Nothobranchius furzeri: one gene and its partners. The protein of the gene in region 5 purifies or fractionates together with the protein of the main gene of each other region. This does not show direct contact. Links are inferred from orthologs where the notes say so. Each region holds a gene or a part of one and is shown on either strand. Other genes may lie near its edges.

Region 1 (3,741 bases), on a different chromosome or scaffold from region 5:
TCCCGTTCCAGGCATTTGACTAATATAGGCAGGATGCCGGACTTTATCAAGTCATCGATGGGAGGGTTTCTGTCGCTGGAGAGCAGTTTTCTGACAAAACACACGAAAACGAACAAACTTTCATTTCATGGTAAACAATCACAAGAAATGTCGACATAAACGACGTCTGAAGAGCCCCCGACCTGGCTGCCTGTACAGCACTGAGCTGTATAACTGCATTATCACTGGTTGCATTCTGCGGGGACAAAAACACGAGAGTGTCAGATAGAACAGAACAGCAGCTCATCTGAGAGCACAGGACGGCTAGAATGAAAAAGCTCACCTGTAGGATTGCATCAAGTGTAACATTTTGCTGTAAAAATTGAAAATGTAGAAGCACATTTAATAATTTGCACACTTCATTACAAAACACACACGCGCACACACACACACACTTACTCCTTTGAAGTCAGAGTCGACATCAGAGTCCTCCAGACTCTCCTCCTGTGGGACATTTCTCTTCTTCAGTAAATGCTCGTCTCGTTTATTCTGACGAATAAGAAAACAAACATCAGTGGAAGAACAGAAGAGAGAACCCATCAGTGTTCAGAAAATCTTAAAGGAATTATTGAAGAGCGTTATCTAAAAAAAAATAAACTAGGTTTACTTTCTTAAGCACAACTCCATTCATATCAGGTAGCGAGACAAAACAGACATGTTTATCTTTGATTCCCTCAAAACACACACACACACACACACACACACACACACACACACACACACACACACACACACACAGAGTTTGGGAGGCGAGCGAGTCAGGGGTAGGAGGAGATTCCCCTGCCCTACATTCTGGTGCATCATGCTGATGTGCGTCACTGATGACTAATCAGCCGGCGCATTCCCGCTGCCCTGAACACGGAATGTGCTCGACTCAGAACCACTTCAGTACACAAGAGAAGGCTTTACCAAAGATCCAGTTCAAAGCTCAACTCACACAGATAAAAACTCAGAGGAGTTCATGCTCAGCACATAAATCACACGTCCACATGAACCAGTTCATCATTTGTCAATTTTATGACACGGTCTTCTAGAGAGGTTGTGAGATAATCAGATGATTAAGTCAACGTCTGGTGGACAGAATGACCTCACGGCAGACATCTTGCCCCCCCCCCCCCCCCCCCCATCTCTTTACATCAACAAGTCACTGAAGTATGAAGCAGCCGTTTACTCCCCAACAGAATCAGCTTGATTGAGTTCAAAGTTCACGGAATATTTGAACGCCGCTCGTGAACAAGCTAATCTGGATGTCTGCACGCGGCCCTGCCAAGAAAACAACTTCCTTTTTTTTCAAAGCTCCGTTTGTTTTCAAATGCTGAAAAACACTTTTCTCACACGTCCAACAGAAATGTCTGCAGCTATGTTGATGACACCCAACTGGCTTTCCAACAAAACCCTCTCTTACCTTTCAGACTATGTTCTTCTTAGAATCAAACAGTAAATCAGAAGCTTCTCCCTGGCAATAAACCAACACTCCTCAGTGAAGTCATCTTCAACAGCTCCTTATCGTTTCACGCTCACGTCAGGCTGCAGGTCTCCATTTGCCTAATATTCATCCGCCTGTCCCTTAAAAGTGTTTCCACTATTGTACAAAACCCGGTCACAGCCCACATGGATGCATTTCCCTCACAAATCTAGCCACAAACTTTAGTTTTTGACCGCCCCATCACCTCCAGACACCAATTCACCAACCAATCGCGTCCCACATTGCAGAAGCTCCACTGGCTCTCAGTTAAATGATTTGATTCAAAAACCATTCTTTTACCAATTCAAAGCCATCCATTTTTCTTCTGAATGTCATGCTAAATATATCTAACCATCTCTCTCTTTAAATGAGCATCACCAGATTGTGAAATGAAAAACTGGGGATGAAAATGTTAATACCAAATCTAACAGACATTTTTATGAATATTCTTTTTAGGGATGCACAATAAATTGGCATCATATCGGTATCGGCCGATGTTAAGACTTTTTTTTAATATATTTCGGTATCGGTCCAATAAAGAAAACTGGGCCGATATTAACAATTGATTTTTTTTCCATCTTATTTTTTCCATTCCATCTGTTTCACAGGGTGTGTGTGTGTGTGTGGTGTGTGTGTGTGGGGGGTATTTGTTTAGTCATTATCTCAGAAGCGTAAATGTGTGTGGTGTGTGTACATAATAACATAAATTCAGCTTTAGTAATTTCATTCTATACAAAATCTGCTGTTTTTAGAAGCATTATTGTCAGTATATCTGTTATCGGCCACAACAGTGATCTTAATATCGGATATCAATATTGGCCCAAAAATTTAATATCGGTGCATCATTAATTCTTTTATTTGTTTAAAAAAAGGGTTAAATAGTTTAGAAGGTGAACAAGAACAAATAGGAAGTAACATTTTACTTTGAAAGCCAGTCAGTAACTTGTTCTGTGTGAAAACAAAGCAGTACAAGTGATAATGCTGCAGGATTTCATAATTGTATCCTTCTCAGCAGCAGCACTGCAGGTGCTCTCCATGTCCAACATGTGTGTAAGCCAGGTCCTTAGTCAACTTAAAAGTTGCGTACATTTTTCTGCTAAGTTTTCTTTCATAAATCCCAAAGTTTGCGTGGAAAGTTGCTTACGCTGTTTTCCGACCCCGTTTTGTGAGTAAGCAAGCTTGATCAATGAGGCCCCAGGCCCTTTGCTTCCCATGAGGAGGCATAGGAATGGCGGTCCAGTCTAGCAAACGGCAACAGTGCAATTGAGACATGGGGATAATTGCCATCGTTTAAATAAATTATAGAAACAAACATTTCTTGTAAAATAAAATGCTCTAGTGTCTTGAAAAGAACCAATAAATGAAATTCTCTATTATTACTAGTTGTAAAATGTTTGACATCACTGTGTGCTAGCAAATTTAACAAAATAAAGAGTAATAATGAACCATCTCATTTTCAATCTAAAAACTGAACTAGCAAATTGAAGCTGTGGAATTACATAAATCACAGAGTTAAATGCTTAGTTTCCCAAAGTAATCTGGATTAAATAATCTGAGGCTGAAGACAGAAGATTCACGACTAAATGGCAACTCGGAATGAATTCAGCCTCTATGGAAAATGCCTCTCTGCACTGGACGTTGATCCAGAGAGCTGCCATCCAAAATGGCATCAGGCCCTGCTCCTCTTCCTGGATCATCAAGTTTTAGTTGCATTGTGTTTATTTTACAAGACACATTCATAAGAGTGCATTTAAAATCAATGTTACATTAAAAAGTAAACAAGTGATGTTTATTATGAGCTAACAAAAGAGCCGTTTGAGGGCGTCGCCATGATGGGATCCCCGCTTCTCCGAAAACGGTGACTAGAACGTGGTTTACTTGGGTGTGACGTCATTTCCAGGTCTGAGATCTGACTTCTGAGGTTCTGAGGTCAGCGTCGACCAATATGCCTTTTTAGTAGAACCAATTTAAAGGCACATCCATGTGCAGCAGAATTATTTTTAAATATATATTTAAGTTCCTGAAAAACATCTACTTAATAAAAGCTTTATTACCATTTTAATTATAGATTAAACAGTTGATTACATTCAGGGTTTCAGAAATGTTGTGCAGCCACTGTTATTGGTGACACTTAATCATGCAGATAAGGTGGAAAACATTTAGAACTTAAACTGTGAAAATCGACAGCACTTAGCGGCCATCGGCTGTCCAGGACCTCCAGATATCGGCAACAGAAA
Region 2 (4,468 bases), on a different chromosome or scaffold from region 5:
GCATCACATGTCAGTCAGCAGATGTGTGGTGGTCTTCTTCTCCCACTCAGACCACAGGTACCAGCTAAACCCGGAACCATTAGGACTTACTCACACCCAGCCTCCGGCTGCACAGTTGGCTCTGATGATGAAGTCGTCCTCTAGCATGTTGTCAGGGTTGCTGAAGTCAAAGTCTTCATCCAGAGCTGCCACGATATCTGGGTCCATGTCCAGTCGGGGTCCTGAAACAACACATCAGCTGTTTCCACCACCGGAGCATCAGGGTAAATTTACAGGAACTTCCCGACGTGCATGCGTCTCCCAGCCAGATGAGGCGTTTTCAGGAACTCTCAAAGGAACAAGAGCAGAACCAGGAGAGGGAGATGAAGGTCCCACCAAGCCTGAACAGGTGAGTTTAAAGGAGACCACTGAGTCCACTGATCTCAGGCTCAGGGGGAGAGAGGTCCAGAGTCTGGGGGCCACAGCAGCAGATGATCTGTCACCTTTGACCTTTAGCCTGGTGCTGCACAACCAGTAAGCTTTGATCACTGGACCTCAGGGACCTGCTGGGGGTGTAGGGACTAAGAAGATCACCAATGTAAGATGGTGCTTGTCCATGTAAGGCCCTATAGACCAGAACCAGGATCTTGAAATGAACCCTGAAGTTGACTGGCAGCCAGTGAAGCTGGAGGAGAAGCGGGGTGATGTGGGTGTGTTTGGAGGACTTGGTCAGAAGCCGAGCACAGGCGTTCTGAACCACCTGTACAGTAATCCCTCGCTACTTCGCGGTTCGTTCATCGCGGATTCGCTGCTTCGCGGATTTTTTCTTTGGAGCATTTTTCAGGGGGAATTCGCAGATTCGCGGTATTTTTCACTGATTCGCGGTATTTTTCTATGCGAAATATCAAGAAATTCTTGTTTTTTTTCATCAATTTCATCATAAAATGCACTTTTTGTAATAAAACAAAAAAAAAACAAGTAAAAAAATTTTTTTCTTGAGTTTTACCCCCAAAAAGAGAATCTGATCATACGATAATTCAATAGGGAGCGTGGTTTCACAGACGCGGAAGTGATAGCGTCGGTGAAACGCCGGCTGCTCTAGGAAACCCCCGAGCGTTCGAGCGTCAACGAAGTGACACGGAAATGCCGGGCTTTCCAGAAGTAAGTAAGATAACTTACTATGAGCTGATAGTTCGTTGGATTGATCGGTAGGTTGGAAACTGATCATGAATCTGAAGAAACGATGACTGAGTGGTGAGCTGGAAAGGCGACTTCCGTTTATAGCCGCGGTTTGTGACGTAGGTGCGACGTGGAGGGAATCCCCGCGAGGGGCATGCTGGGAGTCCCTACTTCGCGGATTTTCACCTATCGCGGCCAGGTCTGGAACGCATCTACCGCGATAAACGAGGGATTACTGTAGACGGTTCAGGGAGGTTCTGCTCAGACACGTGAAAAGAGAGTTACAGTAGTCTAAGCGTGAGGAGATGAAGGTGCATGTTACGGTGTCCAAGCTCCTACCTGCCATAAACTGTGTGACGTTACAGTGTCAGTGTGGTCTATGAAACCATGAATATTGATGTAGTGCAACTTGTTAACATAAAAACTAAGCCGTTGTTTGAAAATCTCATGCTTGATCTTTTCCACCCGATTGTTTGAATCCTGATCAGAAATCAGATCACATGACCAGATCAAAGCATCCCTGATCTGAGGTGCTCTACCTGAAACAGGTGCAGCTTTGTTCAGAAGTCCCACCTCTTCCTCGAACTCTGAGGCGAACACTGAAGAGGGCAGGTGGATAGAAGCTTCCTGGTCAGAAAGCACAACAAGGATTAGATCAGTCCTTGTATCACACCGGCCAGCATCACTCAGGTGTGTAAATAAACATGGCTGACAGCTCCCTCTCAGCTGATCAATGTTAATAAAACCAAAATAAATGTAAAACGTGAAACTCCTCTGATAAAGCTCTTATGAAGGTTAGGAAGAAACAGAATGGTCAGAGATACACGACTGGGTCACTACCTGCCGTTCTCTAAACTACAACGTCCTACACGTGACCTTCAGGGCTGAAGTAAGGCTAAACAGAGACTCACAGGAACATTCTTGTCTGTAATCTTTTCACACTCCTCATCTTCTTCATGTCGGCGGTGAATCGTGGGTTCAGCTGTGACCAGCTCTGAGGGGCCCGACGCCTCCTTCAGGTGCTGCAGGTAGTCATAATCATCATCGAAGAAAACACCAAACTGTCTCTGCTCCTCACGCCTCTTCTCTGCCTCTGCCTGAAAAACACAAGGTCCTGTTAGAACCACATCAGGTCTTTGGGGACATCTGACAAGGTTTTCTCTGCAGCTGGACCTTAGTGGCAGGCAGGAGGACGTGCTGTGGTGCTGTTTCATCTGCAGCCAAAGGGTCCCTCTGACTCCTGTGGACCAGGTGAAAGGTCACCGCTTTCTTCTTTTCGATGAATGATTTCTTCTTTCGATGAGGCTGGAACAGATTTAGACGACATTTAGTTAGAACATGTTAAATCAGATAAACGCCACCGAGTTAAGATGGCTTATAACAGCTGGAGTTGCTGTCTGAATGAGAGCAGGAGGACGTGAACAAAAAGGCATCTTTTCCTTTCTGAACAAGTTTTCTAAATCTATGCAAAACATTCATGTTTCTGGAGGGAAAAGGAACAAACACGCTTGAGATCGTCATCGACATCCACCAGCTCATCTAGAAAAGCTGAATTAAAGTCATATAAACGAGCGTTAGCTGTTACATACTTGTTGTTATGCTCACCACCTTAGCTGCTGTTAGCTAACACGGCTAGCTTAGCAGGAAAAGGTCTTCTTACCATTTTGTGCTGGAATCACAAACGTCTCCTTCAGCAGCTGACACTGATTTAATGTTTATAAAAACTCGACCTCCGTGTATCTGTTAGAGACAGCGACCTTTCACATAAAACACAAGTAACGTCTTTCCACGCTGACGGCGATGCCCGTGCCGGAAACCCGATCCGTAACACGCATGCGCGAATTTTACGTCACTTCCTCTTTGCCAACTTTGCGACAGTTACAGACTGCGTTACGTTTAAACCTCCGAATACACATAAATTTATTTATTTTTTATTTATTTTTTAAAAGGTTTTATTAACTTGTGGTCGATACATTCAGAAAATACATTCAATATATCCATGGATCACATTTTACAGTTGTTTACAATAGCAATAACATACATGCAACATTAGGAAACTATTAAACAAAAAAAAAACAAGAAATAAACAAAATAGTGACGAAAACATATATAACGTAGAAACATAACACTTAGGGGTCTGCTGTGTCTAAGTTGAAATGATGAAATAAGTTGATGGTCTTTGTTAGTTTGTTGTTCTTCTTTTTTAATTTTTCAATGCTGTTCCAATATTTCATAAGGTCTGTAATTCTGAAATTATAGAAGGAGGGGATACTTTTCTGAAAAATCATTTTATGTAAATAATATTTTGCTAAAATAATGACTAAGTTAATTATGTATTTTTCATTGGATGATAAATGAGGGTTAGTAACAATAAGAAGTATTTCATATTTGCTTAAAGAAATATTTTTTTAACTTTCTGGAAATGAATCTTTGTAAATGGAACCAAAACAAAGTTACATGAAAGCAATCAACAAAAACATGTTCAATATTTTCTCCCTTACAACCACAAAAAGCACAGATGTCAGAAACATTTGGAAAATAAATACAGATGTTTGCTTTTGACGGGTAATATCTCCGAATACACAGAAATGCATGCTTTTCTCCTCAACGGAGAGCTTCCGGCGATTGAACAAGAGCGCCGTAAAATAGGAAGAATGGCGCCTAATTACAGACTTAAAGGTAAGTACGAAAATTAAAGATGATCTTTTATCATGGTCTACAGCTGCCCTTGCTGCTTGAGGGTACGGACTCAACGTTAGTGTTCTAAAGTTGCATGACGCCTGCGTTGATTCAGGAGGGTGTAACGAGTAATATCAGTGTACAGTGTATACAGTGCAGCATCGTCTGTAATATCGAAATTCTATATACAGTATAGATCTATATCTTGGTGTGTGGGCTTATTTTAGATTTTAAAAAATCATAAATACAATATCATATATATTTTTTCTTCTCCTGGCACTCACAGAGCACAGTCGCTTCTGCTTTGCTCCCTTATCTTTTTCTCCCAAGGCTCTTTTTGTCCCGTCTGACTACAGAGCGCTTCTCTGCATTTCCTCTGGAGATCACTATTTTTCAGAAATGGATTTAATTAATTGGTCATTCAACGTGATTGATAAGATTTTTTCTACGATGAGAACGGAGGAGGGGGCTCCCACTTGCCCTCACGGGACACACGCAGCGGGATATATGCTCGATTCCTGGAAGGTGTGGAATGTCATCTGTCTCTCTCAGCTGTCCATTCAGGACTGTATCTGTTTTGTCTATATGTGTGTGTGTGTGTGTGTGTGTGTGTAATCTTGGTCAGGCTGTT
Region 3 (4,252 bases), about 45 Mb from region 5:
GTTTGCGGGATGTTGGGGGTTCTTGGTCTGCTGAGGATTGTGGGACGCCCTTGGTGGTGGGTGTAGATGGTGGGGCTGGGAGTGTGAGTATGGGGTGAACCTCCATGTGGGGTTGTGTGTTTTCACTGGGGTGTGAACGGGTGGTGGGTTTTTGTTGGTGGTGGTTGTGTGGGAACACGGGGTGGGATGGTACTCGTGCCTGTTGTGTGCAGTGGGTTGTGCTGGCTCAGTGTGTTGGCTGGTGTGGCAGCAATACGCTTTATAGGTGTCTAGCCTGCCTAATTTCAAAGAAGAAGAAGAGACACACGGGTGTTTAAAAGGGCAACATGGAGGTCCCTGAGGATCAGGGTTGGGAAACACTGGTTTAGACTGTACAGTTACCCACTGTATATACGTATTTGTCTTGCTTTTATCAACTATTTTCAGCTTGAATAAATTGAAGAGTTCCTTTGTGAGCAGCGGAAACACTTCCTTTATTTGGTTCAACATAAAATCACCCATGCTGCTTTAATGTAAGTGGATACAAACCAACATTTCATCAAAGTCTGAAATCTCTAAGCTCCTCTGTATACCACTAGCTAGAAAACTGGCTGCTCCTTTTGAAACCTAAAAACATTTAAAAAGAAAACAAAAATGTGTCACCACAGAATATCCCACTGATTGTTCCTACATCAGGTATAGACAACAGAGTAGCTTATGAGAACAACTCTGAGGCCTGGCTGAAGTGGCTGAGTCTTAATTTCCACTAATGATGGTGATGCATCCTTTTCAGCAGTTTTAGTAACTTTGTGGTTGGATGGTCCTCACTTGGAGAAGCCCTCTGTAACGTGTAGAGAAGTGCGTCGTCGGCAATTAAACGCAAGTTGGCACTCCTGTAATAAATAAATAAATAATAATAATAATAATAATAATAATAATAATAATAACAATAATAATAGAGACCATTTGGTCAGTGAAGAAAAGTTCGTACAGCTGTTTTAAACCTTTGACAGTTTCAAAAAAAGAAAAAGAAACTTTTCCGGCATACGACACGTTCATTCAAAATAAAAGTCGTCTGACTCTAACGAGAATGTTCAGAAACGTTAAACTGAGATTAATGTTGTAAGGACTTGTGCATCAGACGGAGACAGACAACTATTAATTTAATCGTGATGCAAGATAAAAGTGTCAGTAAAGTGGCGATGATCGATTAATTTAAAATGACTTGACTTGAAGTGGCTTATTTTTGGTGTACTTTTACTTTGAAAAAAGGTTGATCGACGGGTTTCCGTATCCTCTTATCTGAAATCTGATAGGCTGCTGCGGCTTTGCTGCTGATGTGGGTTTTTTAAGTTAGCTTGTCGCTTCTCCGTTGCTTTAACCCCACATTCTGATCTAACTCTGTACGTTTGGGGAAATAATGCCTTACTATCAGGTCTGGGAGGAGTTCGCTCGCGCGGCAGAAAAACTCTACCTGGCAGATCCGATGAAGGTGAGTTCGTGTGTTTTAGCACACGGAGCTAGCTTGTTAGCCACATGATGGTGTTGGTTCTGAGCGTCATGCCAGAATTCCTGAACGCGTTTTTGTTGTTTTTGCAGGTCAGAGTGGTCCTGAAGTATCGACACTGCGACGGTAACCTGTGCATCAAAGTCACCGACAACGCTGTGGTGAGACAAACGAAGGAAACAGAACGATGTTCTGCTGTTTGTGTCAGGTTTACCCCAGCGTCCACCTTGTGTTGATTTAAAGTTCAGCAGACGAAGTAAAGCGACTCCACTCCTAGAGATGCAGCGCTTCAATAAGGGTGACAGGAGGAAAACGTCGGTTAAGTGTTGTAACCCCATATTCTAGTTTAGCCCTTTAAAGCGACGCCTATTGGATAATCCCTTCCTTATCCAATCACTGAAGAGCTTTCATGTACGCCAGCCCGCCTATGGTGGGTCCCATCCTGATCCTATAAAAGGTCAGTGACCACAAAACGTAAAGCCTGACTCATGCTTAAGCAAATGCACATTTGCGCCCCCTGCTGCTGCGTCGTATCCATCGACATATATATACTGGACAATTCATTTCCATAGGCTCCAATAACATGTTTTTGAGGCTAAATGGGAGGTGGCCACCACCGCCATCTTGACCGTGTCACTTGTTCAGTCAAGCCCCGACAATTCCACAAAAGGGAAGAGAGGAGGAGCTGAGGGTGGGGCTGTAAGGCTGGGATCAACTGACGACACCCGGTCGAACTAGCTACAAGCTAACCTGAAGCTAACCCAAAGCTAACGCGGAGGTGGGAGCTAAGCTAACGGAGGTAGCAACCTAGCTACAACCGGAGTTAACTGTGCACAACACCAGAGCTTCTGAGTCAGAGATACGCCGGGCTGACCGCTGGGGAGAACCGGGTGGAACACAGAGGTCTCCGAGAGCTCCACAAGCCGATAGTGGGAACCCAGCTCCACCAACATGTTATATTTCAACCCATTTTCTAAAGTGCAGCATTATGTTAAATGCACTGGGTTTTACCCTATTACATTTAAATTTCATGGTTAAACAGTACATGTTAAAATCTAAGCTCAGCTCGGCAGTGACCTAAAATACATAAATATAATTTTACTTACCGAAAAAAATGAAGTGGAGACTCCTTGGACGCTCTATTAGTGCAATTAATGCCACAGCAAGTCATTTTGTCCAACAATTGCACAAATAATATCCAAACAAGAATACACAAACACAGAGACTCAAAATCCCGGAGCAGTTTCCAGGCCAGACCGAGGCTCTACTGAGGCCTTTCCCCGGAGCTAGCTCTGTGGTCACGTGGGTCTGATGCTCATTAATTATACAGAATTTTAGGCTTTTAATACACTTAAACAGAAGAGTGAGAAAAACATTCACCCCCCTCAGAGTTGTCATGAGTGTAAACTAGATCATTTAAACCAAAAACATGTTCTGGTACCAGGCTGTAAACATGTTTATTTCTGCTGTGAAATTGGTATTTTTAACATGGGAGTCAATGAGGATTTGCTCGCTTCTGACACCAGCCCCTAGTGGATGAGGGTGGAACTGTAATTTTTGGTACCTCCGGGTTTGACTCCATTTTTGAGCCACATGGTGGGGGCTTGGTCGTATCTCCTCTAATCATACTGGCCCGACCCTGTTGCAAAGAAATTCTCCGCCAAAACAACAGATTTTGTCTTTGGCTTTCTTTATGTTTTTGAGGGGCCAATGGCGGCGCTGTTGACGACAGCGACATGCTGACTAATCGCAAGCTTGCGTTCTCTGTCTCGTTGGATGGATGTTTAGGGAAGTGGGCTCGACTCCGTCTGTCCTTGTGAGCCTGCTGGTAAACCCCTGCGTGGACGGACAGTGGCGTTGCGTGTGTCTGCGGCGAGAGATGCACACGATGTTTTGCTTTCAGACTCCTCCATCAGCTGAGGATTGTTGCAAAGCAATTCCCCTCCAGGACAGCAGAGGGCGTACCACTATTCTGAGGTATCCTGCCACCATTAGTCACATTTCCGGTCCATGATGGTGTACTTACTGTTGTGTTTACATTGTTATATTTCAGAGATTTTGTCCCTCAGTCCTCTCCACCTGTTCATACAGTCGGGGCCTCTAAACTCGCGGTTCTTGTCTTCTCCGTCTACAAATAAAACACCCGTTGCATATTTTTGTACTCCTTCAGTCGCGGGCGAATAAACGCGCATATTTTTTTCCGCGATGCGTTTTTCAATCTTATCCGTGTCTGCCACTAAATATCTTTAATTTTTGAAGCCACAATGACTGTGCTGTTGATGAAGTGACAGCGTCCTCCTGACCAATCACAAGCTTGCGTTCTTTGTCTCTTTCAACAGACACTCTAGGCTCTAGGGCATGTTGATGATCTTTCACCATCGGTGACGGTTTGTTTCTGTTTTCAGTGTTTGCAGTACAAAACAGACCAGGCTCAGGACGTGAAGAAGATCGAGAAGCTGCATGGGAAACTGATGAGACTTATGGTGTCCAAGGAGACGCACAGCGGTGCCATGGAGACTGACTGAGAGGCTCTGGAGCTCCTGGACTGAGCTCAGTGGGCACGGTGCATTTCAGAAGCACCAGGATGAGGTGGGATGGTGGTGGTACCGAGGAGGACACGTGGGGACATATGTCCGTCTACACCGATGGAAGACGTGTCTTCATTACTGTTTGTTTTCTTCCCTATTTTAAAAAAATTGCAACGCTAACTGATTTTCTGTTCTGAAGGGTGTTGAGGAGCCCCCCCACACACACACATCCACACTC
Region 4 (4,449 bases), on a different chromosome or scaffold from region 5:
TTACTGAGCAGGTGCCACTTTTGTCATACGTTTCTTTTTAAAACATGTTTAGACTGTTCAGAATACAAATCCAGGCTCTGTCACGTTTGATTGTTGTAATTAAACTTTGTAGGTGGGGAAGGTCAGAAAAGGATCCGATCATTTTGTTTTTCCCTCATTTACAGTGACGGAGATAACGGCGCAGTGCGCCTGGCTCTGGTGTTAATCAAGTTAAATTATATCTCTTTGCAACAATTATCACAAGGAAACAGAACAGTTAAAAGCAGGGCTTGTGTTGACTGGACAGTTCCCGTATTTGACTGTTTCTTTCTATTCATTCTCTGTCAAAATAATTACCCCGACGCATGCAGACGAACTGACATTTTATTTGTTTCGCACATTGCAGATGTAGCTAAATCACTAAAAAGATTCCCATCTGAACATCTGAGCTGGACACTGCTTAGCGCAGCTTACTGTCAGCGCGTACGTACGGTGCACAGCGAGCTGAAGATGTGGAGAGGGGCTTGGAGCGCGTCGCAGAACCAGAGCGCATGCAGGAAGATTCCTCCGACTAAAGCGAGACTTGTCACTTAGGAAATGTTCCCTGATTATGAAACTTTGGCTGAATAGTGCTTGTCCCAATGTGGCGACACACCCAGGAGCCATCTGAGGAGAATCCCAGAATCTCACATCCTCTTCAGCTCAGAAGCGCCTATGATTACGCACAAGCGTGACCCGTCAACCCGGTCTCACAGTAAGACTGGGTTGGAACTGTTCAGGTTTACGCAGACAATCTTTACATTTAGAATTGGCATACAGATGTAAAATTAATGCAGTAAAATATAAAGAATTTTATGTAAATATCCATTCATTATTTTACAAGCACAGAGAGCCACGTCAGATGGATGGAAGAGCCGCATGCGGCTCCAGAGCCGCGGGTTGCCGACCACCGTCCTAGTGGATCCAAAAAGAGAAAGAAGCAGCATGCTTCATTTTAGCTTTTATTTTCACTTCTGAAAGTGACGTCGATTTTTGATGTAAACATCAAAAGAAAGCAGAAGGGAAAGACAATGGAAAATGGTTAAAGGGAGGAAAACATGGACCAAAATGAAAAAAAAAAAAAAAAAAAAAAAACAAAGGCAAAAGCACAGGAGCACTGACAGGAAAAAGAAAGCAGAGCAAATATTGAAAGCACTCAAAGGGAGGGAAATACAGGAAAAAAGAGGACTAATAAAAAGGGAAAATAACTCATGTCAGAAAAGGGGAGTTTTGCAAATCCAGTTAAAGGTAAGATTGTCGAAAATTTTGTGTAAAGTGCCCCATGACTGTGCTCGCCTTGGGCCCTCAAATTGCTAAATCCGCCACTGTTCATATACCACACCTGTGAGGTGGGATGGATTATCTTGGTAAAGGAAAAGTGCTCACTAACACACGTAGACAGATTTCAGAACAACTTCTGACAGTCATGGGTCTTTTGTAGCCTGGCAAGCCAGACTAAGTAAATGTATTATTTGTCTGGCCACGCTCCATTGACGGGTCTCCGTTGTGGGGCGGGTTCTACCGTTGTCTTTCAAATGATCTCTGCATTCCACTGGACAATGAATGTGACATACTCTTGTTTCACTCTGTTGCATCATCCCACCCACCAGGCATATAGAGTGCCCTGATTGGCCCACAAAGTGGATAAAGCTTTGTGATTTGTTCACTAAGCAGATAGAGCACTATGATTGGCTCACCATTATGGACCAATCACAGCTCCTAATGTGTTTGAAACCCCTCTAGAGAGTTGTGATTGGCTAGCCAGAGTCCTGGTAGGAGCTGCAGAGGTTCCAATGGAGCATGCCTAGACCAAACTTTGCAAAGCAAGAATTTGGTCTAGTTCACTAGGCTAGGTCTTTTGTGTATGTAGACAAAGTTTCAGATGTTTGAGTTCAGCTCATGAAAAATGGAAGCAAAAACAAAAGTGTTGCGTTTATATTTTTGTTCAGTGTAGGAAGGCATGCCAGGCTAGGAAAAAAACGATTAAAAACGTTTGTTGTGGTTCTTTTAAAAGAAATCTGCAACTCGGTAAAATCAACTAAATTTAGCATTGACTCACAAAACGTGAGTGTAAAAATCTAAATATACGTTTTCATTTTTTTTTTTAATAAATACTAGTATCGCAATGAAGACATTAAATTTCTGTAGGCACCGACACACATGTAGGAAAACTCCGGCGTGATTACTAACACGTCTTCAGTGTAAAAGATGAAACAGAAAATCCCAAAATGTCGATCTGGGTTCATGGATGTGGTTCAGGGGACCGACGACCCCAGCCTCACCTTTCTCTGCAGCTGAGGAGGGGGCCTTCTCCTGGGTTGGAGTCGCTGCTGCTCGGCGAATCGGCATGATGGGGGATTTACCTGAACACAGGAAAAATGTGTTGGCCGCACAGCGGTACGTGGCCATTTCTGTTTATGTGCGTGCCGTGGTTGAGGCAGGCGGCCACTACTACGGCCGAACACACTTAATTCAATCACCAGGCCCATTTTCATTAACCTCGATTTATTTTGTTTTTACAAAACACTGACTGCCTTTAAGTCAGCACACCGTAATCTCATTTATCCTACAGCCTGGAACAAAGGGACCAATCCATGAAACTCACACAATTAGCTGAAAGACTTTTTCGGCAATTTCGCCATTTTGTCCATTGGTTTAGAAACACAGTAATGGCGTCGTGCAAGGTAGATGGGATTCTTTCAGTACCATGGTCAAATACAACAGCGGTGTCGTTGTTAAGCGTGGGAATCGTGCAAGTTTAAGTTAACCAAAACATGAACCGTGGCGCCCTTTTCACTTACCTTACCTTCTGCTTTTCGGGAAAAAGAACGATACTTAAAAATTTCTGCACGTTCCTTTATTTCGATATCTTGGTTAACGAGCCCCGCCCCGTTTGGACCGTTGGTGACGTAGAACGTCACACATTACGTCGAAGGTGCGTGACCAAGAGACCGTCAGAAAACAAACACAAAGGGAACAAAAACAAAAGGAAACGCTGGAGAACTTTTTTGTAACGAGGTGAATTTACAGTCCCGCACCAACGTGGCAATCATTCACAATTTTTTGCTTCAAACGAGCAATTATTTTGTTAAATATATTTTTGTGAAGTTTCTAATTTTTACTCCCATTTAATAAAAACGGATGCAATGCCACCGTCCTGACCCAACGGAACAAAATAAAAGTGAACAACAAATTGTTATATCTGGAGGGAATATCCTCAGGAAATAGAAATGGTATATTCTACAAACATATTCAAATAAATTCTCTCAAAGACCTAAAGCAGAACCGAAGATGGATTTCTATTTAGTTTATCTTTTGGCTGGAAAAAGGAAAATATTCTAACTTGCAAGTTTATTGATTCAATTAACTGCAGTTATAGATATAACATGTGTGTGTATTGCATGTCAATTGGGACAGAACTTAAAAATTCTGACAGAATTAATTGTAATTGACATGAGTGGATCAGCAGATGGGCTTGGAGTCTTCCAGCTATTCTCCAGGTGCACCCTGGCATATTTATGTCTACAGGTACACCTCTTGTTCTTGTCAGGCTCTTATATCCAAAATGAAGAAAAACAAATGATAGAAGGCTCCAAATGATTTTCAGGCAGGAAATGTTTCCTTGAAACACCAACACAAAAATAAGAAATCACAAGAATCAGCACCTTTTTAAATACATTTTTTGTCTTTAATGTATTTACAAGCTTTAAACTGCTCTGTAGGGCTTAAGAATTACAAGCATCTTGGGTCAGCGGCCCCGGCCTTTTGCTTTGTGAAATTTAACTTTAGTTAAGTTTCGCCTTGTTCTGCGTAGTTTGAGTTATGATTTGCACACTTCTACCTCTCTCGAGGCATGTGTTCATATTAACACAGCAAGTTGAGGCTCAGGGAACACCTCTTGGTTATTCCAAGACAACCTCTGACCTTTAACAGCGTTAATAGTTCATGTTTATTCCCTCCTTTGTTGCTCCCCATTCTTCTCAGACTAATGCTGTTGAACCCCGTTTTCAAAACCAAACGGTGTGAAATCCAGGGAAGATGCCCATCTCGCAACTACTGTGTTATTATAATTAACTGTAATGTTATTTATATTGTTGTGTCCTTGTTGTGAGCATCTGCAAAGGTTAAATAACTTTCATATTTGCAGTCCTTAAAAAAATAATAAATTAAGGAGTCCAGAACCTATGTATTTTTAAGTCTCTTCTTAAAAAGTAACAAAAAAAGTAAGTTAAAATTTAAAACAAAAATATTTTCTATGTATGATACAGATATTTAGTGCTTCCACCGTCGGAATCCAAACTCAAGATGGCGGCATGTTTCAGAACCGTGTCGCAGAAGAAGAAAAAAAAAAAGACACAAAAACAAATTAAATTCCAGCCGTAAACACGTCGTCCTGTCTGCACAGCCTTTTAAAAGTCCGTTCTGCTGTTA
Region 5 (4,457 bases):
AATAAAAAAAGTCATCACCTCCACTACAGATGAGTTTCTCAGTGCTCTGGCAATCAGTTTAGTGTCAGTTGTCAGTTTCTTCATCCGACTGAAGCTCGTCAAAACAGAAATATCAACATCTACAAGAAGTGGAAAACACGTCAAGCTCTGATCGAGTCAATCTGAGATTTAGAACTAGCACTTTCAGACACTCACATCCTTTGTCGGACTCATCGATGAGCTTTTTCAGAAAGCGGTCCTTGTACAGGTTGACGTCTCCAAACCAAAACTCCACTTGCTTCTTTATGTCGCTGAGCAGCTGTTTAACTCGAGACCTTTTTTTTCTTTCCATCTCCTTGTTCTTCTCCATAGATGTTACTGCATCAGCTGCTTCTTTCTCTGTGTTCAGCATCCTGGCTGTGGGGTGACAGCGGAGCTCTTTAACACAGACACATTCAGAAAGAGTAGACGACTGTGGACTTGTCTGTTTACGGGAGTTTTTGGGAGGAACGAGACCTAATTTAATCACAAAGCGACAGAATGAACGACGGTCTCCTACTGATAATACAAGCTGCTAACACACAAGCAGCACGCACATGTCTAGAGCTGTTTACATGAACACAAACAATGAGAGTCAAGACTTTTTACAGTCAAACTGTACTAGAAACTCTAGGGTAGAGCCTTGTGACAATGAGTGAGTTAGGGATGCGTAGATCATTGGATTGTTTATTATGATCTTTATGTTGATAGATTGATTTTTTATTTGTATAGATAACATAATTATAGAATAAAATAATACAAGTAAGTTTCACAATATGACATAAAAACAATAAATATACAGGGTAGCACAAAAAAAGCATAAAGCACTTATTTCCATAGAAACCCTGAGAAGGTAGTTATAATACGTAATATAACAACAACGCCTCAGAGTAAAAACAGTACAGTTAAACGACTAAATAAGGTTAAGAGACCAAAAATACACAAATCTGAAAACAAACAAAGGTGTCACTCTCTTTTTGGGCCAACATTTGGACTATAAGTAGTTTGACCCTTTTCCTAAAAAACAGACTTCAATTGACATGCCCTGACTACATTTGGCAGATCATACAATATTTACCACTCTCAGAGTTTATAACTGTATATTGAACACCAGAAACATACAGTTTATTCACCAATATGCTGTCTGGATGCTAAGTTGTGTAACTGATGTTTGTCTAAATATATATAAAGCCTAAAATATGCAGAGATCACATTTTAAAAGACGATAAGAACAGATTTAAGCCACCAGATCTGTTTAGTATTTAAATCTAGTGTAGAGACTAGATGAAGCCATCAAAATCATTTTGATCCAGCCAGAATTAATAAACTACCCAAAAAAACATGAATGTTTTGTAAAAGAAATGTACTTGATTTCTTTGCCACTTGCCGTCGGTTCACAGGTGCACAAAACCTTTAAAAATCAAACAAAACCTTCATCTAATTAACTTACCATTAAAAAGTTTGTCATTTATTTGCATTATTTATACTTTTACCCTATTTAAAATGCGTCCGGAATTTAAGCACCATTTAAGGAACTACACCAGATATATACACTCACTGGCTACTTTACTGGGTGCACCTTGCTAGCACCGGGTTGAACCCCTTTGCCTTCAGAACTGCCTTAAGTCTTCAACAAGGTACAGGAAACATTCCTCAGAGGTTCCACCACATCCCAAAAGTGCTCTACTGGATTGAGATCTTGTGACTGTGGAGGCCATTTGAGTACAGTGAACTGATTGTCATGTTCAAGGAACCAGTCTGAGATGAGTGGAGCTTTGTGACATGGTGCATTATCCTGTGGAAGTAGCCATGAGAAGATGGGTGCACTGTGGTCATAAAGGGATGGACATGGTCAGCAACAATACTCAGGTAGGCTGTGGCTTTGCAACATGATCAGTTAGTACAAAGGGGCCCAACGTGTGCCAAGAAAATGTTCCCCACACCATTACACCACCACCACCACCAGCATTAACTGTTGATACAAGGCAGGATGGATGTTACAGCAGAAGTCGAGACACTTCAGGCCAGGCAACATTTTTCCAATCTTCTTTAGTCCAATTTTGGTGAGCCTGTGTGAGTTGTAGCCTCAGTTTCCAGTTCTTCGCTGACATGAGAGGTACCCGTGGAGGGGTCTTCTGCTGCTGTGGCCCGTCTGCCTCAAGGTTCGCATCTTCTGCATAACTCGGTTGTAACGAGTGGTTATTTGAGTTACTGTTGCCTTTCTATCAGCTCGAACCAGTCTGGACATTCTCCTCTGACCTCTGGCATCAACAACCACAGAACTGCTGCTCCCTGGATGTTTTCCCTTTTCTGGACCATTCTCTGTAAACTCTAGAGATGGTTGTGTGTGACAATCCCAGAAGATCAGCTGTTTCTGTAATAATCAGACCAGCCCATCGGACACCAACAACCATGCCACGTTCAAAATCACTTCAATCACCTTTCTTCCCGGTTCTGATGCTCGGTTTGAACTCAGGGGATCGTCTTCGTGATCTCTACATGCCCACATGCATTAAGTTGCCACCATGTGATTGGCTGATTAGTAATTTTCCTTAAGGAGCAGTTGGACAGTTGTAACTAATAAAGTGGCCAGTGAGTGTATTTTGTCGTTTTATGACGTGTTTGTTTGAATTGTGAAGCATAATATACTTAAAACCAGAATGGCACTAAACATATATTATTTAGAAGGAAAATAACACATTTTCTGACTGTTTCCGCGGTCCGTAAGGCTAACATTTGTTAACAACATTCGACGTTAGTACAGGGGAATTCGCGGGTTGGTTTCAAAAACGCTGCGCTGGTGTTAGTACCTCCAAACCTGGAAAACCGATCTTTATCACCCAGAGGAAAAACTAGAATGAAAACTTACCCAATTTAAGAAAATATAAAAAGACCAGTTGGCTTTTAAATTCGTAAAAATGTTATTAAATCGCAGCTTGCTGCATAACATCACACTAATGACTGCTCAGAGCCGTCGCAGCCTGAAGTCGTCATGAGCGTTTTTCTACATCCGGCAAGTCTTTTCAAAATAAAGGTAAACCAATCATTCATTTCGGTTTCAGTGATTCTGTTGATAATTTGCGTGAACTCTATCCAGTCGATTTTTTTAAAAATATAAACAAAATAATGTGCATCATATAGCGGACAGCAGAATACGAAATATGAGCTAAGATCAATACATAACGATTTCACGACGTAAACCGTGGCCGGTTAGTTCAGTTGGTTAGAGTGTGGTGCTAATAGCGCCAAGATTGCGGTTGCAATCTCCGTACGGGCCATTCTTTATTGTGCTGCATTGTTTCATCCTTCATATTAATTATTTCATTCATTCATTTATTTAATACTTCCCATTTTATTCTAATGTATGTGTAGAGTCATAAGAAGTTACACAAAAAGCGATATTTGACATTAACAAAACTACATACATTTGTTATTTTTCATATTTCATATATTTCCTACACATTTTCATATGTTCAAAATACTTTCAAACTTTTTTAGTTTCTTGCACAAATCATCCTCAGTGCAGCACTCAATCCTTTTCTTGATGAGTTGCGATAACTGATTGTAGAAAGTCTTTGCCCGCTGATCCTCTACGCAATCTATTGATGTGTTGCAAACGTTACGCAGTACCGTGACCAACTTTTCATTGCTGCTGACCTCACAGCGCTGAAGGACCCATTTCCCCCACTCGTCCCACATTTCGTCATCTGTAAAATTCACAGCAATACTCTCTTGGCTGCACAGGGACTCTGGCTCTGGGTCATACAAGTCATTCCATATGGCTCTGTAAGAAGATGAAAATTAAATGCATTTTTTTACAATAACAAAGTGTTCAAATATTTAGAATTTAAATTGATTTAAAACAAAGCCATTAGCTTACACAATATTTTTCAGTGGAAATGGAGTCAAGTCACTGAGTGAAAACAGGCCTTTGTAGCTGACTCGGTTCCCCTCCATCCTGTGAGAGAAGAGCGTGTTTAGAAAATCCCCCACTTAGTGTTTACATCAATCAAGAGGTGTGGAAATTCATCAAACCGGAAAAAAGAATGTTACAAAATTACCAAAGCTTAAACCGATTTCTAATTCTGTCATTTGACTCACTTCCCTAAAGAGTTCATTTGAAATGCCACGTCACCCTCAGAAGGTTCTTACCACAGCTCTTGAAGCCTTCTTTTCACTCGTATGGCATTGGAAAGAGCCTCCAGTTCCTCATCAGCGATGTTTGACCATCCAAGTCTAAATGAGGAAAAGAAAGTAACACATTGGGACATATTTTAGTCTGTCATTCTGTTTAGGAAATCTTCAAGCTTTGGGTTTATTTTGAAACTGAAACGTGTTCAGATATTTTATCGAGATCTTACCCAAGGTGAGTGATATTGTCTGACACTCTCAGAGTATCGGCAATAACCTGGATGGCATCCATGTCCAAGTTGTTATCT
Region 6 (4,306 bases), on a different chromosome or scaffold from region 5:
AAGAGGAAAGATAACATTCTGTTTTATTAGATACAGTTGGAATGATGCAAGAGAATAAAGCTTGCCATGTCTGCACAATTGTTTGCTATTTTAGGAGCTAGATAGTTGCAGAAACCCTGCTAAGGCCTCTAAGAACATGAAACAGTTATAAATAAAACATTTACAATAAGTCATCGTGTTTTAGGTTATAAACACACAAGTTAGGTCTAGTTGACAGCAATTCATAAAAAAAACCTTTTATTCAAAGTTAATTTCTGATTTCAGTTAAATTCCAAAATTATAACATCAGTGGCTTTCTTTTTGCTTTAGCAGAAATCTAATAAAACTCTACCTGCAATGACCTGCCTGCCTCTACCCTTGCCGTCCTTGGCTCCTTCGATGATTCCTGGAAGATCCAGGAGCTATAAAGAAAAAATAAATCTCAACCCAATGAAACACCACTTTAATATCTCAGGACTGGAAGACATTTTCCTGTACCTGAATTTTGGCACCTTTATACCGAATGACCCCAGGAACTGTTGTAAGCGTTGTGAACTCGTATGCTGCAACCTCAGAGTACACACCTGCTAGGTTACTCAGCAGGGTGGACTTTCCTACTGAAGGAAAGCCAACAAAACCAACTCGAGCATCGCCGGTTTTTGCCACATCAAAACCTGTATGTGAGAGAATAAAAACCTGAATTTCTGTAATTATGGATAAAAACAGACATAAATTTAAATGCCTCATGGGAGAGAAACCTCAGAAACAATTCCTGAATTGGAGCTATTTGTGAATTAAATACACAATATAGTAAGACTACCTTCTCCAGGTCCACCACCACTCCCGCCTTTTGGTGTGATGAGCTCCCTCCTCAGCTTAGCTAGACGTGCTTTGAGCAGACCCAAGTGGTGAGCTGTGGCCTTGTTCTTCTGTGTCCTGGCCATCTACAGTAACACCAGAGTGCATGATGAAATAAGAAGTAAAACATTTAGCTGGACCGTTTTATTGCTTTCAAAGTAGAACTTTAACAGAAGCTAATTACTTGAAATGTCTAAATTTTGATTCATGGCTTGCTCAAAATTAAAAGGAAACTTTAAGAAGACTGGATGGGTGCCTAATATGAGCTCAGTATAATTATAGGAGGTCATACATATCTGTGTTCTATCTGACTTTACACACAGCATACAGATATTGCAGAAAAAATATTAGTTTTGATGGAAAGATGGATATCTATTTCATTACACCAACTTATTTAGATTATTCGAAAAAGTTTATTTAATAATACAGTAGTAGCATTGTTCAAAACATTTAAACCACGCATAACTTCTTCAGGTTTGCTTCCTAGGAAGCTGATTTTCTTGTAATAATCTTTATTTACTGATATTTGTTTTTCTATTGCCGAAATGTAGGAGACAAGTTCAGCCAATGTCCAATATGTATTGCCAATATTTATGGCCCGATTTCAAATAGCCAATATCTAGACATTTTCCACCTGATTTTCATGCTTAACTGTCACTAATAACGGTTGATGCACAAAATTTCTGAAGCAGTTTTTGATCTCTAAATTTAACGAATAATGGGCCATTCCCATCTGTACCGGGTTGGCCCGGGCCGGGTAGCCCCAGTCGGCCCCAGCCTGGCCTGGTTGATTCCACACATTCTTGTCTTAAGCCCATGTGGGCTGATTCTACCCACCAATCAGAGGCTTGCTCTAATGGAAGGTGTGAATTTGCTGTCAGCAGTGGGTGTGTTGGCCCTGGTCGGCCTGAAGCAGACCCCCTTGAGAAGAGGGCTGAGAATGAGCCTTGTTTGGCCCAGAAAAATACCAGACCACCCAGATATGTAAACAACCTACGCTACCCGGCCCGGGCCGACCCGGTACAGATGGGAATGGCCCATAACTGTTAACTTTGTGCACTGTGAGGCAACTATATAAAGTTAGAGTATTTATTATGCAGATTTTATTAGTGAATGCAAAAATACATTTAGATTAAATTCTATAACAGCACCGGGCTGCCTGAGGATGTGCCTGACTTTAAATTGGCTTTCTGAAAGACAAATAACACTGATGTATAAAAAACCGTTAATATCGGCCTATATATATTGGTCTACCCCTAATTCTAACTCTGCTTTTATATTTTGTAGCACTCTAAAGAACTGGAGACAATTTGTACTTTTATAACAGATTACCAACAAACAACCATTTATTACACGTATCTGAATTATATTTGATGCCTGTACGCTCAGAGTGGCTTAAAAACAAAAATTTGGTCCGGTGCCGTTTTCGCGTCAGTGCATTTCGATATTGTCAACTCAGCGCATCTGTCAGTTAATAACGATAATATTAAAGCAATTAACAGATTAAATTAATCAGTTATTCAAATCTAAGCTAGAACCGGTTTAGCATATGCGTTGCCAACATCTGTGAACTGACATTAATCTCTTTATTCATCTATAAGTGACAACTAAACTGAACACTGAAATACATTTTCTTTTTTTAACAGCTTAAACTGTCAGGGATGCGGGGCCAGTCAAATATAGGTTAAAATGGATCTTCTTTTATGAGATAGCGTTAGCGACTAGCAGTAGCTATGTGAACTAAACGTGACAGACTCGAAGGGTTTAAAGCGTCAACTTTCGCCTTACCTCATTTTCTATCTCTGCTATTTTGGCAAGCACACTCATGGTTACGTTGATTCTAAAGACCACTTCACCTTAACTATGTATACCGGAGAGGTTTACCGACAAATATGACAAAGTTTAGGTGGTTAGGTTTAGTTAGCGTGTACAGTAACACACACCACACAAACGCGGCTACGCCAATTCACGGAAAGTCTCGCGAGATCGAAGACCTTCCCTACGTAGCCTCGCCGTAAACGTCATTTGGAATCGTATGACGTCCCGCTTTTCTCGCCTCTGATTAGCTGGATGGGCTCTGTTGCGATTGGCTATTTAATGTAAGAGGAACCGTCTTTCCTCGCTACAGGGTTACAGCCTAGGTCTTGAGGAGTTTTAAAAAAGAAAATATGAATTTAGCGCTACAATAACCATTCTGTCCTATTTTGCAACATACCAGCTTCATTTTCTTTTATAAAATTACATAAAAAACGTCAAATGTGAGCTTATAATAAATATTGTTGTTTACAAGTTAGAACACATCTCTCATCATCTGATTAAATGTATATCGAAATTGAATTCAAAGCTGATTATGATTTAGACTTTTTTTCAGCAGTTTTCATTACTCTAGAAGAGAAACAGACCTGCAACCTGGGTGAAAAAGGGCAGTTTTATTATATTTCACACCAAGGTAAGGCATACATGTTTATCCTATTTACTCTGCTTTAATAAGATTGCATCAATGCTTGAGAGCCAAGAGATATAAAGTATGTCCAACAGTGTGATAAATAATTTCACAGTTGTGTTTCAGTTTTGTAAGTAAAAGAAACAAAAAGCACGCAGTATTTTGCAAAACAGGACAGAATGATTATGATAGCGATAAGTTCACATTTTCTTTGCAAACTCCCCAAAACAGCTGCTCTGTTGGTGGCAGGAGCAGGGCCAGATTAACACTTTGTTGTACCCTGGGCAACAATATTCAAGGGCCCCATCATCATGACCCAAGGATCACCATAATATGGTCACATACAGAATATTTTACTGTAATATGCAGTAAATATACTCAATACTTGAATGCCTGACATCATGTAACCTGCTCAGGGTAACCTTTGACCCACCTTGTGTGGACTGACCAATGAGGAGAGGGTCTTAACTTGAGGCCCTCTCTTCACTGGTCAGTCTGGCATGAGACTGACTCTCAACTGACGTTCAAAGTCATAGAGCTAGCTCTCAGTAGAGCCTCGGTCTGGCTTGGAAACTGTTCCAGGATTTTGAGTCTCTGTGTTTGTACATTCTTTTTTGGATATTTTTTGTGCAATTGTTGGACAAAAAGACTTGCTGTGGTATTAATTGCACTAATAGAGCGTCCAAGGAGTCTCCACTTCATTTTTTTCGGTAAGTAAAATTATATTTATGTATTTTAGGTCACTGCCGAGCTGAGCTTAGATTTTAACATGTAGTGATTAACCATGAAATTTAAATGTAATAGGGTAAAACCCAGTGCATTTAACATAATGCTGCACTTTAGAAAATGGGTTGAAATATAACATGTTGGTGGAGCTGGGTTCCGACAATCGGCTTGTGGAGCTCTCGGGAGACCGATGTTTTCCACCCGGTTCTTCCCTCCCCGCAGCTCGGCGCATCTCTGTCTGATCGCGGCTTCTGTCTGCTGCGCGGGCTGCCAGCTTGTGGAGCTCTGGGATGGAAACCT
Region 7 (4,250 bases), on a different chromosome or scaffold from region 5:
TTCCTTTCACTTTGTCACGGAGTAGAATGCAATAGATATTTTTTCTCTTTAAACGTTTTGATCAACTGACATTTAACCTCATTGAGATTTCTTCTGGTAAAAAAATAAAATCAAGTTAACATTGTTTGGTCAGATGGAAAACTATATATAAAATAATATTTCTCATTACACAAGCCTCCCTTTAAATACTGTAGATCATTCAATTCCGAGATTTCGATTTCTACAGAACTTTTATCAAGTAATCAATTTATTTTGAAGGTTGACACACCCAAACCGGAAGTTTCAATGTTCTTGATGTTTAACGTCACTCTGATGCATCATCTGGTTTGTTACAGACCCATCCTCCTTTCCCAGCTAATCTGAGACCATTACATGGAAGCCATAGTATCTTGTTTCTTTTATAAATGTTTATCTCCTAAAATATTCAAAAACTTACACAAGGAATGTGTTTTATTAAAGTTTATTGAATCAAGATCTTTGACTCATTCACTGTTCACAGGTTTAGTCGAACAGACCAAAGCCCATGTCATCATCTGATTCCTCAGACTCCTCCTTCACCTCCTCCTTAGGAGCTGAAGCTGTAGAGACTGCTGCAGCTGCTACAGGTGCTGCGACAGCAGCAAAAGCAGATGGGTCAGCCAGGAAGGCTTTGACCTGCGGAGGACATATCAAAGTGTTAATTTCTAGTTATGCTATTAGTCAAAAATAAGCACTCCTAACAGACGTGAATTTAACATGCCTTTTGCATAAGGATCAGCCGTGCAGCACGATGCATGCTACACCAACAGGTTTACAAGTTAACCAAAAACAATTTAAAGCAGAATGAGTCAAACACCTTGTCCGCCAGGGGGAAGGAGTAATCCGTTTCCACAGCGACAGCCAGGACTCTCTTGTAGCCATTGATGACCGAGTGGGGGACAGAGGCCAAAGTGGGATAGCCAATCTCCAGACACACACTAGCAATGTTCCTCACACCCTGGACAAGTTAAGAAAAGTGCAATTTAGACATATAATGTCCCTGAACATTAAAATGTTAATAGACCTTGTGCCTCACCTCCAAGAACCTGGTGTGCAAAGAAGCCTCTGTGATGTCAAGCACCTCAGGGCTGTAAACACTGCCATTATCATACACTTGCTGAATGATGAGTCCAAAGGAGAAGGGTGAGATGTTCAACATGTTGAGCAGAGTTGCCTCGCTGGCACCAACTTTGTCACCGGTTTTGATCAAGCCGACATCACTCTAAAAAAACCAAAAGCAGCAGTTACTGGGTGCACTTTGCCACACTTTTGAAGATTTTTAAAAATGCATGGTATCGATTTCCAATTTTCCATCTAAAATTAAAAACTAGAACAGCTGTCTAAACTCACCAAAATTTCAATGGTTCCTCTTGAGATTTTGGTGGTGATACCAAGAGCCTGGAAGAACGAGGTCTTCTCAGGACCTAGGCCAGTATTCTGAGCTGGCACCGTCACATCACAAGGGGCGATGGCTCCAGCACGAGCAGCTGCAGGTACCTGAGGAATAATGTCAGGAAAAATTGTCATTGTCAAACAAAATCTTAAACGTTAACCCTAAAACTAAATCAGTATCTATAGTCGTTATAATGTCTGAAACCTTACGTCCCTGAGAGTCAATACGTAGTGACAGACAGGGATAGCGAGGAAACAAGTCACTGTTTGCAGGGGGAACGACAATACAGTACAGAACTGGCTGTATTGTAACTTATCCTGCACACTTATAAGATTTCCACACAAAAATGTGCATTCTAATGTTATCGCTGTACGCGTTTCACATGATTATGAAGTAAAAATGACTTAAATTACCATAAATTTTATAATTTCTGTACCAGACACTATTCATTTACCTTATTAGCCAGCAGCAAGTCCCTGACCTCTGTCAGGTCCTCTTTGGTGAAAACAAACCCCACATTTCCTTTAATGTGGGGAAGAAGCCTGTCAAAACAAAAGATTGGCTAATTCAGACAATGATTTTTGACATTCTTTAGTTATGCTTGTTTGAGGCCTTGCGTCCCTGGCTGCCGGGGGACATAGACAGTCAGGGATAGCAGGAGACATGTTACTTTCAGCAGGGGGAACGACAATACAGCACCACACAAGCTGTACAGTAGAGATCCTGCTCCATGGAAAGCACCAACAAAAAGCTGTTAGCATAAAACTCACTTCTCCAAGGCAGGATTGTTCTCCAAGTGACCACGGATGGCTTTGCGCATCATGGTGTTTTTACCCATCAGCACCACAGCTTTCCCACGCAGAGACAGACGGATGGTCTGCATCTGCTTGGAGCCCACATTGTCTGCCCCCACGATGAAGCATTTTGGGTAATCATCCAGAAGTTGCTGCACATAGAACACTGCGTGTTAATTTAACTGCGGAAACTGGTCAAATCACGTCCGCTGTTAGCGTAAAGATCAACCTTACGATGATTTTCATAAAATAGTTTGACTTCCACGTGGCCCTGTCTTCCCTGGGCATCTTGACAGTGCTTCCAAGGATCGCTTTACAGCCGGTTTAAAGACAAGGTGAAATCTATAAACAGAAAACATATTGAGTTTTAACCAAACTCAATTTAGAACAAATACCAGAAGTGTTAGAAACTCTACCGTCTCCCACGAGGTCGACGGCTGACATTAGCTGGTTAGCGTTAGCCAAACAGGCCGCATTTAACGTAAACGAATTACGTGTTTAGAAAAGGATAAAGAGCTACACATCATTGGGTAGCGTATCTAAATGAAGTCAATACACACTTTTAATATGTTACAAATAACTAATCTTTTATTTTGGTTTGTGAACGCAACAAGACAACATGGCTCACCAAGTAGCAGGGCGCGTGAAAGAAAGAGGGCGAGGTTGGCCGCGAGAAGTATTTATTCAAAACTGTCGACCAACCAGAGCACAGAGACAGGGCAAACTTCACATTCATTGGACCATTTTCCTGTCCATCATTTTAGTAACTAACCATCACTTTCGTGTCAACTCTAAAAAAAACTTTATTAACAAAAAGAACAATAACACAATTCCCTTAGCAATTCAAGTACAAATCTTTAAATAAAATTGCACCTCCAACAAGCTATATATATATATATATATATATATATATATACATATATATATATATATATATATATATATATATATATATATATATATATATATATATAAATTAGCAAAAAAGAGCAGAACTTTAGTGTGTCACATATATCAATCAATTATACAAAAAAGTAAGGAAAAGAATAAGAGGGGAACAAAATGGAAGCAAGAAAAGAAGTCCAAACAAATCTCAAAGAGGATCTATTTTTCTTATGAAAAAGAGATTAAATAAATTCAAGTAAAATCAAGCTGTTCTAATAAGGCATAAAGTTTAGTAGCAAGGGGGTTTCCAACGGTTTTCGAAGATTTTTTTTTATTATGGAGAAATCATTTTTAAGAGCAACTGAGAAAATTCAAATACCACAAATTACACTGACCATATAGTCAGTTGTTTAAACCAAGACTTCCAACGTTGGCATGGCAGATGGCATGTTGAACAGCAGCGCGAAACGAAGGCTGCTACAGTTTGTCCCAAATTTTCTTTTAAAAGTCACACTCAGAATTTCAAAATGAGCCAAAATAATGTTCTGAAGCCGGCTAAACTCCTTTTACCTGGTGGAAAGTAGGATGCGAACAGCCTGAGTGGTTAACTGCCTTACTGGAAAATTAATGAGCTGTCAAGGAATATTGGCTCAATCCCGGAGCTCAGGGATGGATTACACCACGCTGTGAACGCACAAACTCATATAATCGTCAAAATGAGTCGTAAGCTTGGAACTTTGGCTGAGATTCAGACTCAGGCAAAGAAGGTTGATGACATCAAGGATAGAGTTGACGGATCAGCGCGGATTGGGATCGATTAATTTACACCATTATTAGATTTAGAGGGGTTGGAGACCAATGGAACTTTAAGACAGAGAGGAAATTATCTCTGTCTGGCCCCAAAACAAGTTCTTATCTGAATCTGGTGCCCTTGAGCCTGTGAGGCTGAAGTGAATACTCCCCCCTCAGAAGAAATGTGGAATGCTGCTGTCGCCATGGCAACTCTGTCTCCGTATCCCAGCCTGGGCGGGATTGCGACTGGTGAAGGCCGTTGAATCATTTACAGGAGTCACTGTGCTCTCTAACCCAATTACCTCCCTCCCCTGTCCAAACAGAGGTGACGAGCGCTGCTTATCGCGGCTGCACGCACTGACGTGTGG

The links.
Region 1: the proteins of larp7 (region 5) and kpna3 purify together in Homo sapiens (affinity purification with mass spectrometry; 3 studies listed by BioGRID and IntAct, with this or other methods). This does not show direct contact. The link is inferred for Nothobranchius furzeri from reciprocal best matches to the Homo sapiens genes LARP7 and KPNA3.
Region 2: the proteins of larp7 (region 5) and ltv1 purify together in Homo sapiens (affinity purification with mass spectrometry; 3 studies listed by BioGRID and IntAct, with this or other methods). This does not show direct contact. The link is inferred for Nothobranchius furzeri from reciprocal best matches to the Homo sapiens genes LARP7 and LTV1.
Region 3: the proteins of larp7 (region 5) and srp9 purify together in Homo sapiens (affinity purification with mass spectrometry; 3 studies listed by BioGRID and IntAct, with this or other methods). This does not show direct contact. The link is inferred for Nothobranchius furzeri from reciprocal best matches to the Homo sapiens genes LARP7 and SRP9.
Region 4: the proteins of larp7 (region 5) and hp1bp3 purify together in Homo sapiens (affinity purification with mass spectrometry; 3 studies listed by BioGRID and IntAct, with this or other methods). This does not show direct contact. The link is inferred for Nothobranchius furzeri from reciprocal best matches to the Homo sapiens genes LARP7 and HP1BP3.
Region 6: the proteins of larp7 (region 5) and drg1 purify together in Homo sapiens (affinity purification with mass spectrometry; 3 studies listed by BioGRID and IntAct, with this or other methods). This does not show direct contact. The link is inferred for Nothobranchius furzeri from reciprocal best matches to the Homo sapiens genes LARP7 and DRG1.
Region 7: the proteins of larp7 (region 5) and rplp0 purify together in Homo sapiens (affinity purification with mass spectrometry; 3 studies listed by BioGRID and IntAct, with this or other methods). This does not show direct contact. The link is inferred for Nothobranchius furzeri from reciprocal best matches to the Homo sapiens genes LARP7 and RPLP0.

Annotation. Positions count from the first base shown.
Region 1 is NC_091754.1:26,743,900-26,747,640, forward strand, and holds part of kpna3 (importin subunit alpha-4), read right to left. Parts: intron 529-3,741; coding exon 439-528; intron 353-438; coding exon 323-352; intron 236-322; coding exon 183-235; intron 91-182; coding exon 1-90. UniProt on the Homo sapiens protein: Functions in nuclear protein import as an adapter protein for nuclear receptor KPNB1. Binds specifically and directly to substrates containing either a simple or bipartite NLS motif.
Region 2 is NC_091747.1:66,352,751-66,357,218, reverse strand, and holds the start of ltv1 (protein LTV1 homolog), read right to left. Parts: upstream 2,980-4,468; 5' UTR 2,822-2,979; coding exon 2,819-2,821; intron 2,464-2,818; coding exon 2,332-2,463; intron 2,256-2,331; coding exon 2,070-2,255; intron 1,786-2,069; coding exon 1,698-1,785; intron 222-1,697; coding exon 95-221; intron 1-94. UniProt on the Homo sapiens protein: Essential for ribosome biogenesis.
Region 3 is NC_091742.1:28,143,434-28,147,685, forward strand, and holds the start of srp9 (signal recognition particle 9 kDa protein), read left to right. Parts: upstream 1-1,269; 5' UTR 1,270-1,399; coding exon 1,400-1,471; intron 1,472-1,578; coding exon 1,579-1,647; intron 1,648-3,891; coding exon 3,892-4,011; 3' UTR 4,012-4,252. UniProt on the Homo sapiens protein: Component of the signal recognition particle (SRP) complex, a ribonucleoprotein complex that mediates the cotranslational targeting of secretory and membrane proteins to the endoplasmic reticulum (ER).
Region 4 is NC_091743.1:76,856,329-76,860,777, reverse strand, and holds the start of hp1bp3 (heterochromatin protein 1-binding protein 3), read right to left. Parts: upstream 2,947-4,449; 5' UTR 2,820-2,946; intron 2,382-2,819; 5' UTR 2,368-2,381; coding exon 2,301-2,367; intron 1-2,300. UniProt on the Homo sapiens protein: Component of heterochromatin that maintains heterochromatin integrity during G1/S progression and regulates the duration of G1 phase to critically influence cell proliferative capacity.
Region 5 is NC_091742.1:73,341,482-73,345,938, reverse strand, and holds the start of larp7 (la-related protein 7), read right to left. Parts: upstream 3,035-4,457; 5' UTR 2,888-3,034; intron 418-2,887; exon of another isoform or gene 397-417; 5' UTR 392-396; coding exon 196-391; intron 120-195; coding exon 19-119; intron 1-18. Other genes in the region: NACHT, LRR and PYD domains-containing protein 3, read right to left, coding at 3,484-3,802, 3,899-3,976, 4,171-4,254, 4,380-4,457. UniProt on the Homo sapiens protein: RNA-binding protein that specifically binds distinct small nuclear RNA (snRNAs) and regulates their processing and function.
Region 6 is NC_091746.1:51,122,561-51,126,866, reverse strand, and holds the start of drg1 (developmentally-regulated GTP-binding protein 1), read right to left. Parts: upstream 2,816-4,306; 5' UTR 2,665-2,815; coding exon 2,626-2,664; intron 924-2,625; coding exon 800-923; intron 654-799; coding exon 478-653; intron 402-477; coding exon 332-401; intron 1-331. UniProt on the Homo sapiens protein: Catalyzes the conversion of GTP to GDP through hydrolysis of the gamma-phosphate bond in GTP. Appears to have an intrinsic GTPase activity that is stimulated by ZC3H15/DFRP1 binding likely by increasing the affinity for the potassium ions.
Region 7 is NC_091743.1:54,619,563-54,623,812, forward strand, and holds rplp0 (large ribosomal subunit protein uL10), read right to left. Parts: upstream 2,914-4,250; 5' UTR 2,834-2,913; exon of another isoform or gene 2,622-2,833; intron 2,548-2,621; 5' UTR 2,494-2,547; coding exon 2,440-2,493; intron 2,358-2,439; coding exon 2,182-2,357; intron 1,954-2,181; coding exon 1,866-1,953; intron 1,516-1,865; coding exon 1,369-1,515; intron 1,241-1,368; coding exon 1,055-1,240; intron 977-1,054; coding exon 836-976; intron 655-835; coding exon 502-654; 3' UTR 445-501; downstream 1-444.